Xenopus tropicalis: one gene and its partner. The protein of the gene in region 1 purifies or fractionates together with the protein of each later gene. This does not show direct contact. Links are inferred from orthologs where the notes say so. Each region holds a gene or a part of one and is shown in the gene's direction. Other genes may lie near its edges.

Region 1 (4,022 bases):
GATTTTTCCTTTTATCATCAACCTTTTATCTCATGTTATGATACATTTTGCTTTAGCAATTATTCGCTATATCAAGCATTTTGTTTAAATAGTTTATTTGAAACAAATCTTTCTTTTTAACGTGAGATGTAAAAGGATTAGGCTGATGCCACACGTGGCGTTTTTACGCTGCGTATTTTCTAATTCTCTCAGCGGCTGAAAAACGCCCAATATCATCATCCATAGAAATAACTTGAAAAGACTCGAAGCAAACCACACAAAGCGTAAATACGCTAGAAAACGCCTTAGCACGGATTTTTCAAGCGTTGGCTGAAATACGCCAGTATTTGCACAGCCAGCTATTCCTATGTATACACAAAGGCAGCTGCCAGACCTAGCGGAAATACGCAGCGTTTTTTACTATTTCGCACTATTAGCTCCATGGAAAAGGGATTTGCTATGTCACCAGTACTAGGCTGAAAAACGCCATAGTCAGGGGCTGTGTGGCTTGTGCGGCGTTTTTAGGCTGAGAAAAAACGCAGCGGAAAAACGCCGCGTGTGGCATCAGCCTTACAGAACATTCCTTTACCGGTGCTCCATCTGCTGCTATGCTCTCTGTACCTTTTGCTTAATTGTTACTAGTAATTTCTCTTTGTTTTCATACAATTAAAAATATTCTATAACTATATAAAAAAGGATTTCTAGTGGATTTGTTGATTTAAAAAAAGAAATCAAATCATTATCTTCTGAAACTAAAGCACCAGTGTTGCCCGTTCAGTTCTGTACTTCACACTGTGGGTCGAACACTAGTGGGTCTGACAAGATGGCACTGCAGCCAGGTGTGTGTTTTGGAAAGAAGAGCTCAGCAGGACCCCCAGATACAGAAGAACGGCCCCTGCCTCAGCACAAGTGACCCCCTTCCTTACAAATCACTCAGTACAGTGTTATTTAGTACTTGGGCAGCAGCCCATAGCAACCAATCAGTGATTAGTTTTCTCCTTCCAGCTGCAGGTACAATACAAAAATAACAATCTGATTGGTTGCCATGGGTTACTGCCCAGGAACAAAAACTTGCTCTGTTTGGCAAACTTTACTCCCGCGTCTCCACACAAACAGCGCCTAGATCGTTTAAGAGCGCACACTAACACCAGGGGGCGGTAGCGCTAGTGTTTCCGTGTTCCAGGCGGGCTGGTTTGATGACGTATAGTCGACGCGCCGGAAGTTAGTCGCCTGAGTGCAGAGCGCTGGACTTCGTGGTGTTTGTAGTTCTATTAATCGGTAAGGCTGGCTCTTTCCACCAAACTGGAGAAGATGGCGGTGGAATCGCGGGTGACGCAGGAGGAGATAAAAAAGGAACCGGAGAAACCAATCGATAGAGAGAAGGTAATGGGAGAGTTCATTGAATGGGATCCGGTCCCAAATACAGCCGTGTTGTTACTCTGAGCGGAATCTCTCAGGCACCACATAGAACCCTGCCTAGAATTACTAATACCAATGCCTAGAATTACTAATACCAATGCCTAGAATTACTAATACCAATGCCTAGAATTACTAATACCAGTGCCTAGAATTACTAATACCAGTGCCTAGAATTACTAATACCAGTGCCTAGAATTACTAATACCAGTGCCTAGAATTACTAATACCAATGCCTAGAATTACTAATACCAATGCCTAGAATTACTAATACCAGTGCCTAGAATTACTAATACCAATGCCTAGAATTACTAATACCAATGCCTAGAATTACTAATACCAGTGCCTAGAATTACTAATACCAATGCCTAGAATTACTAATACCAATGCCTAGAATTACTAATACCAGTGCCTAGAATTACTAATACCAATGCCTAGAATTACTAATACCAATGCCTAGAATTACTAATACCAGTGCCTAGAATTACTAATACCAGTGCCTAGAATTACTAATACCAATGCCTAGAATTACTAATACCAATGCCTAGAATTACTAATACCAATGCCTAGAATTACTAATACCACTAAGCGCTACATGTAAGCGAAATGAATCACTCATGGTTAGTGTAGTGCCTAGGGCTCTATTGCCAGCACTTTTGAGCAATTAAAGGAAAACTTAACCCTTAGAAGGAATATGGGAAGAAACTGTATTTTATATACTGAATGTAATACAAAAGCCGGAAGGTTCAGCATCTCTATGATTCTCTATGGCTTCAATGAGCCAGGCCTTCTGAGTTATCATAGGAGCTCCCCATGTTGGATTTTGTTAGAGGTGTCACTGACACTGCACATGCTCAGTGTGCTCTGAGAAGCTAAAGCATAGGGGTTGTTACAAATCATGAAGTTCATATAAGTTGTTGCTGCAGGGCTGATTATTAAAGGAACAGTAACACCCAAAAATTAAAGAGTTTTAAAGTAAAAGAAATATAATGTACTGTTGCCCTGCACTGGTTAAAGGTAAAAGTTGTGTGTTTGATACAGTAACTCTACTATAGTTTATATAAATAAGCTGCTGTGTAGCCATGGGGGCAGCCATTCAAGCTGGAAAAAAGGAGAAAAGGCACAGGTTACATAGCAGATAACTAATAAGCTCTGTAGAATACAATGGTGTTTTATCTGTTATCTGCTAAGTGCCTGTGCCTTTTCTCCTTTGAATGGCTGCCCCCATGGCTACACAGCTAAATTCTTTATATAAACCATAGTAGTGTTTCTGAGGCAAACACACCAGTTGTACCAGTGCAGAGCAGCAGTACATTATATTGGAATTTCTTTTATACACTTGAATTTTTTTGGTGTTACTGTTCCTTTAAACTCAGAAGCTGACACTTGAGAATCTGAATTAATTACTAATCAGCTCAGGTACAGGACAGCAGCATAGTATGGGCAGTGAATCAGCAGGAAAGAAGATGGGGGGGCTACTGGGGGTACAGATCTTCCCTGCTAAAGGGTCGTGGTTGTGTTGCACAACATTTCTAACCTATTTTTTGTTAAGCTTTAGTTTTCCTTTAATGTGCACAAAGTGGGCAGTGTAACACAAGTGTAAATGTAACAAGCTTCTTCGCCAGATTCCCACATATCTACCATCCAGCCCAGTGTTCTGAACCAGATCTGCCTCAACCCATTGCCATTTTCTTCCTAGACCTGCCCTCTTCTCTTGAGGGTTTTCACAACAAACAACGGGAGACACCATCGCATGGATGAATTTTCGAGGGGAAACGTGCCATCCAGTGAGCTACAGATCTATACCTGGTGAGATAAGCAGTAAAGGTATTATGTTATGGGGGAAAATCCTGCTAGAATGTAAGGAAAGTGGGGGTCATTCCTGCTCTGCTCCAGTCTCACACAGAGTTCAGATAATGTGCCCATGTGGCAGACATGCTGCTATGCCACTACCCATGGGTTCTGCTCAGCAAACATGAGCCCTATAGTAAGCTATGCTATTACCCATGGTTTCTCTGAAAATTTTGAAAAGAGATTCTGATTTGAGCCACTAGGCCCCCTGTGTTTTTATAAATATTATGGAAATGCACTCCTGAGCACAGGTTTGGTATTTGGTTCAGACTGTAACCATATTTATAGAGCAGCGTGCATTTATGTATATAATATGTGAATTTAGTTTTTTGTAGTTCTTGTTTATGATATATATGATTTCATGTTTATCTGCTTTATTGCTTTTAGGATGGATGCCACGCTGAAGGAATTAACAAGCTTAGTTAAAGAAGTTTACCCAGATGCTCGGAAAAAAGGAACTCATTTCAACTTTGCTATTGTCTATCCGGATCCAAAGCGATCAGGCTACAGGTTTGGCTACATTTAGGAATTCTATTTTTATTTCTAACGGACCAGGCAGAAATATATCTGCAGTATTCCCAAAATGCAGAGTAGTGAGGTTCCCACTTCCCTCTGAAACAATTGCTCACTATTGCAGTAGAAGCCAGGTCCTAATCGGCTTTAGCTGCGAATGCTCAATGATGGCATTTGGTCTAGAGAAAAAAATGAAGCAATGGGAGATGGAGCACACCAACCCTGCTGCACTGCCCTGCACTTTGGGAACAGCAAAGGCAAAC
Region 2 (3,989 bases), about 82 Mb from region 1:
TAAAAGGCATACATTTTCGAGTATTTTTCTGTTATGGATTTTTTTTACATTCCAGCATCAGTTTCTTAAATACTTTTGCACTTTTTGAAGTGCTTTTCCACTTCAGCCCAGGGTTGCACTCCCTACTCTGTAAAGCGCTGGGCAATATATAAATGTACGTATAACTTTATTTATAAAGCGTTAGAAGGGTACACAGCGCTATACAATCTTACAATATACACAATTACACACAGGGAGGACAACTGTTATAATAAATACAAGAAGTATAAATACACAGATTGAGCGCCATGTGGTGTGAGAGAGTAGGAAGGAGGTCCCTGCCCCATAGAGCTTACAATTTCACTGCCCAATCTAAGCTCGACTAAAATAAAACAAACAAATATGCACAAGGCCCAAACAGGAGTGTAATGTAAGGCATGTATTTATTATCAACACATAAATATTTGTAGAGTGTAAGCTCTTTTGGGCAGGGCCCTCTTCACCTCTTGTATCGGTTATTGATTGCTTTATATGCTACTCTGTATGTCCAATGTATAAAACCCTTTTATTGTACAGCGCTGCAGAATATGTTGGCGCTTTATAAATAAATGTTAATAATAATAAATAGGACAAAGTCTTCCCAACCTTGTTTGCAATATTACCCTGACAGCAGTTACAAAGTATTGAATTGCAGTGCTACTTTAATGGGGAAACCATTGAGAGTGGACCACAGAGACCTTATCCGCACACCCTAACACTCCAAAAAAAATTTTGTACGGTGCACACTGCTAGAGGGATCGGCACCCTCCAAATACACTGTAACAACAAAAAAAGCAATTGGCACTCAGGACTACAAACAAGGGTAAAACCCTTTTAAAAGTTTTATTGCGGAAACCATTGAGAGCACACCTGTAGTTAATGATTTTCATACTCATAATGAATGTCACTGCAGATAAAGAGCTAACAGCCTCCGACCATGGTTCTATAATACAAAACCACCTAACAACAGCCATGGCGCACGACGAGTAACAAAACATTTTTCAAACAACACCCACTGCCCTCCCCCACTATGGGCGCGCATTTCCTGGACGGACGTGACGTCAAGCACAGGGTATAGAAAGCCCCCCTATCACATACAGAGAAGCAGCTTGAGCTCAGGTTTCTAGTATAAATATTACCTCAGTGAATAGATTCTTTCTTAGGGCCGTAATTGGCACATAGCTTTAGGAACATTGCATCGTGAAGACGTGGAAACGAGAGGCTCTATATTGTCTCGGCGTAAGATTACCTTTGTTGAGGACGCACCACTGCGAGTTCTTAGTATCCTTGCGCGGCTAAAGCAAGGGAGGAAGTAACTCCGCCATCTTGTCCAAGCTCTGAAGCGCGCATCGAAGGTCTGTTTGGCTTCCAACTCCATTTCTTTTTCTTCTCAATCCGTCTCCCTTTAAATCCATCAAGCTGGATATGTCAGGGGGCGGCGTGATTAGGGGGCCGGCGGGTAACAACGATTGCCGTATCTATGTTGGCAATCTGCCGCCAGACATCCGCACCAAGGACATTGAGGACGTTTTCTACAAGTATGGGGCCATTCGGGACATAGACCTAAAGAACCGCAGAGGGGGCCCGCCATTCGCCTTTGTGGAATTCGAAGATCCAAGGTAATCCCTGTGTAAATGTTTTTGCTTTGGCCTATCGTGCTAATGGGCTCGCCTAGTGTTAACTGGTGAATAACTACAATATACCTTGAGTGTATCCGGGGGCGGGGTGGTGGTACTGCGACTTTATTTCTGCTGTAGTTGATAAAATGTCGTCCGCTGTTGTATTAGAGTTTATATATAGTCGAGGAGGCCAGTGAGGGGGGGAATTAGGCCTGATTATGGTGCAGGTTATGTTTCAACATCGGTGCGTTGTATCATTATTCAAGTTAATATATTTAGCCTATAATCCCTACAGAGTGGCGCCAGAATGAGGTATTATACACTCATTGTGTATCGCCATTAGCACGTGTAAATCCCTATTTATTACCGCCTTTAGGCAACAGCGCCCCCTGTGTGTGGGACCGAATAGCGCTTCCGCTCTTTGTTCTGCAGCCCTGCACCATGCTTACTAGTGTGTTAAGGGAAGGCATTCTAACAAGCAAATGTGCTTTGGGTTATTTATTGACCTGTTTGCTTTAAAGCCGCTGCCTCATGTCTCTGCTATAAAGCATGCAATTAGGCTCACTGCACTTATTCAACCAGAACTCCTAACACCTTTTATGTAGGCTGCTTGGAGAAGTGCAGTATTGATATTCAATAGCAACACTACAAAATGAATAATGGGTGTTTAAGCATCTGCACTATATGCACATATGTAAAGTATTGGTGAAAATGTACTGTTTAAATGTAAATACAAAAGCTTTTGTGTAGTCATGGGGGCAGCCATTCATGTCTAAAAGACTGTTAAGATACAATGGCTTGCTTACACAGAATTAATCTGGGGTCATGTGTCGTTTGTAGCTCTATACATGACTGTAATAAAGTTTTCTCATTTACAGCCAAGAAAGTTTTCCAGGATATGTAATTACCATTGTAGGTGAATATTCTCTTCTTAACCTGGCATTCTTTAACTAAAGCAATTCTTACCTTGGTTTCTCTTAGGGATGCAGAAGATGCTGTCTATGGTAGAGATGGCTATGATTATGATGGCTATCGCTTGCGTGTTGAGTTTCCAAGAAGTGGGCGAGGAGCTGGAGGCAGAGGTGGTGGTGGTGGTGGCGGCGGCGGAGGAGGAGGTGGTGGAGGCGGCGGCGGCGGTGGTGGTGGTGGCGGCGGAGGAGGAGCTCCCCGAGGGAGATATGGACCTCCATCAAGACGTTCAGAATACAGAGTGGTTGTGTCAGGTAAGAGTTCTATCAGGTGGCAGGTTTAAAAACCAAAGTAAAAACATCAGTTGCAAAGTTTTAGAGGAATAATGCCCATCAGGTTTTTACAAGCAGCGTTATTTCACATGTATACAATAATGAGTTGGACACAGTTATGCATACATTCTAAAGTATTATGCATTCTATACCAGTGGATATGACTGACCATTAATGTATACAAACAGAACTACTAGTATATCTCCCTTTAACTTTAGTTCAGTTAACGGCTTGCATCAGCTTAACAGAACTTAAGCAACTCTCTGCTTGGTCCTTGCAAGGTAGATAATTGTATTACAGTTCACACACAATTCTCCTGCATAATGGACTTCAAACCATGCAGTCACAAGAAAAGGGAAGGATAGGGTATTGTCTTCAAACAAGATATTAAATGGCCCTGTCTGGTTGCTCAGGATGCTATCTGGACTATGAAAACTTGCACATGTTGCTATGTTACCTTCAGTTCAAACATGAAGCACTGCAACAAATTTACCTTTAAAACGTACTAAATGTAAACCCCTGAGTTATTTTAGCAGAATTGGGCTGTTGTGAGTCTCGCTGGAAGCATGGTTCAGATTAAAACAATGGGTTTTCCCCAGGATGCTGTGTTCATTTAAGCAATACAGCTGTCTTTGGACTGTTTTAATGCTCCATGCATTGCTGTATAACCAGCATAGATACCTACTCTTGGAATTTTGGCACTAGAAGTTCATAAACCATTTTAAATTTCCACCATTTGCATGCTTTTAATTATGTATAAAACTGCTTTTGATACCAAATTTGACACTCTGATAACTTTATATTTCTAGGGTTGCCTCCAAGTGGCAGCTGGCAGGATTTAAAGGATCACATGCGTGAAGCAGGTGATGTATGTTATGCCGATGTGTTCCGAGATGGTACTGGAGTTGTGGAGTTTGTGAGGAAAGAAGATATGACATATGCAGTACGGAAGCTGGATAACACTAAATTTAGGTCTCATGAGGTAAATACTAAATTGTTTAGTAGTTTGTGTTAAGTTTTTCTCTACCTATTGTGACTAGCAGTATCTGTTTTACATGACCTCTGAAGCCAATAGTGATGTTGGCCAAATACATAAGGTGCCAAAAGATAT

What was found.
Region 2: the proteins of sap18 (region 1) and srsf1 purify together in Homo sapiens (co-immunoprecipitation; 4 studies listed by BioGRID and IntAct, with this or other methods). This does not show direct contact. The link is inferred for Xenopus tropicalis from reciprocal best matches to the Homo sapiens genes SAP18 and SRSF1.

Annotation. Positions count from the first base shown.
Region 1 is NC_030678.2:157,764,680-157,768,701, reverse strand, and holds the start of sap18 (histone deacetylase complex subunit SAP18), read left to right. Parts: upstream 1-1,222; 5' UTR 1,223-1,290; coding exon 1,291-1,362; intron 1,363-3,094; coding exon 3,095-3,204; intron 3,205-3,633; coding exon 3,634-3,756; intron 3,757-4,022. UniProt on the Homo sapiens protein: Component of the SIN3-repressing complex. Enhances the ability of SIN3-HDAC1-mediated transcriptional repression. When tethered to the promoter, it can direct the formation of a repressive complex to core histone proteins.
Region 2 is NC_030678.2:76,103,894-76,107,882, forward strand, and holds the start of srsf1 (serine/arginine-rich splicing factor 1), read left to right. Parts: upstream 1-1,189; 5' UTR 1,190-1,443; coding exon 1,444-1,637; intron 1,638-2,618; coding exon 2,619-2,860; intron 2,861-3,687; coding exon 3,688-3,860; intron 3,861-3,989. UniProt on the Homo sapiens protein: Plays a role in preventing exon skipping, ensuring the accuracy of splicing and regulating alternative splicing.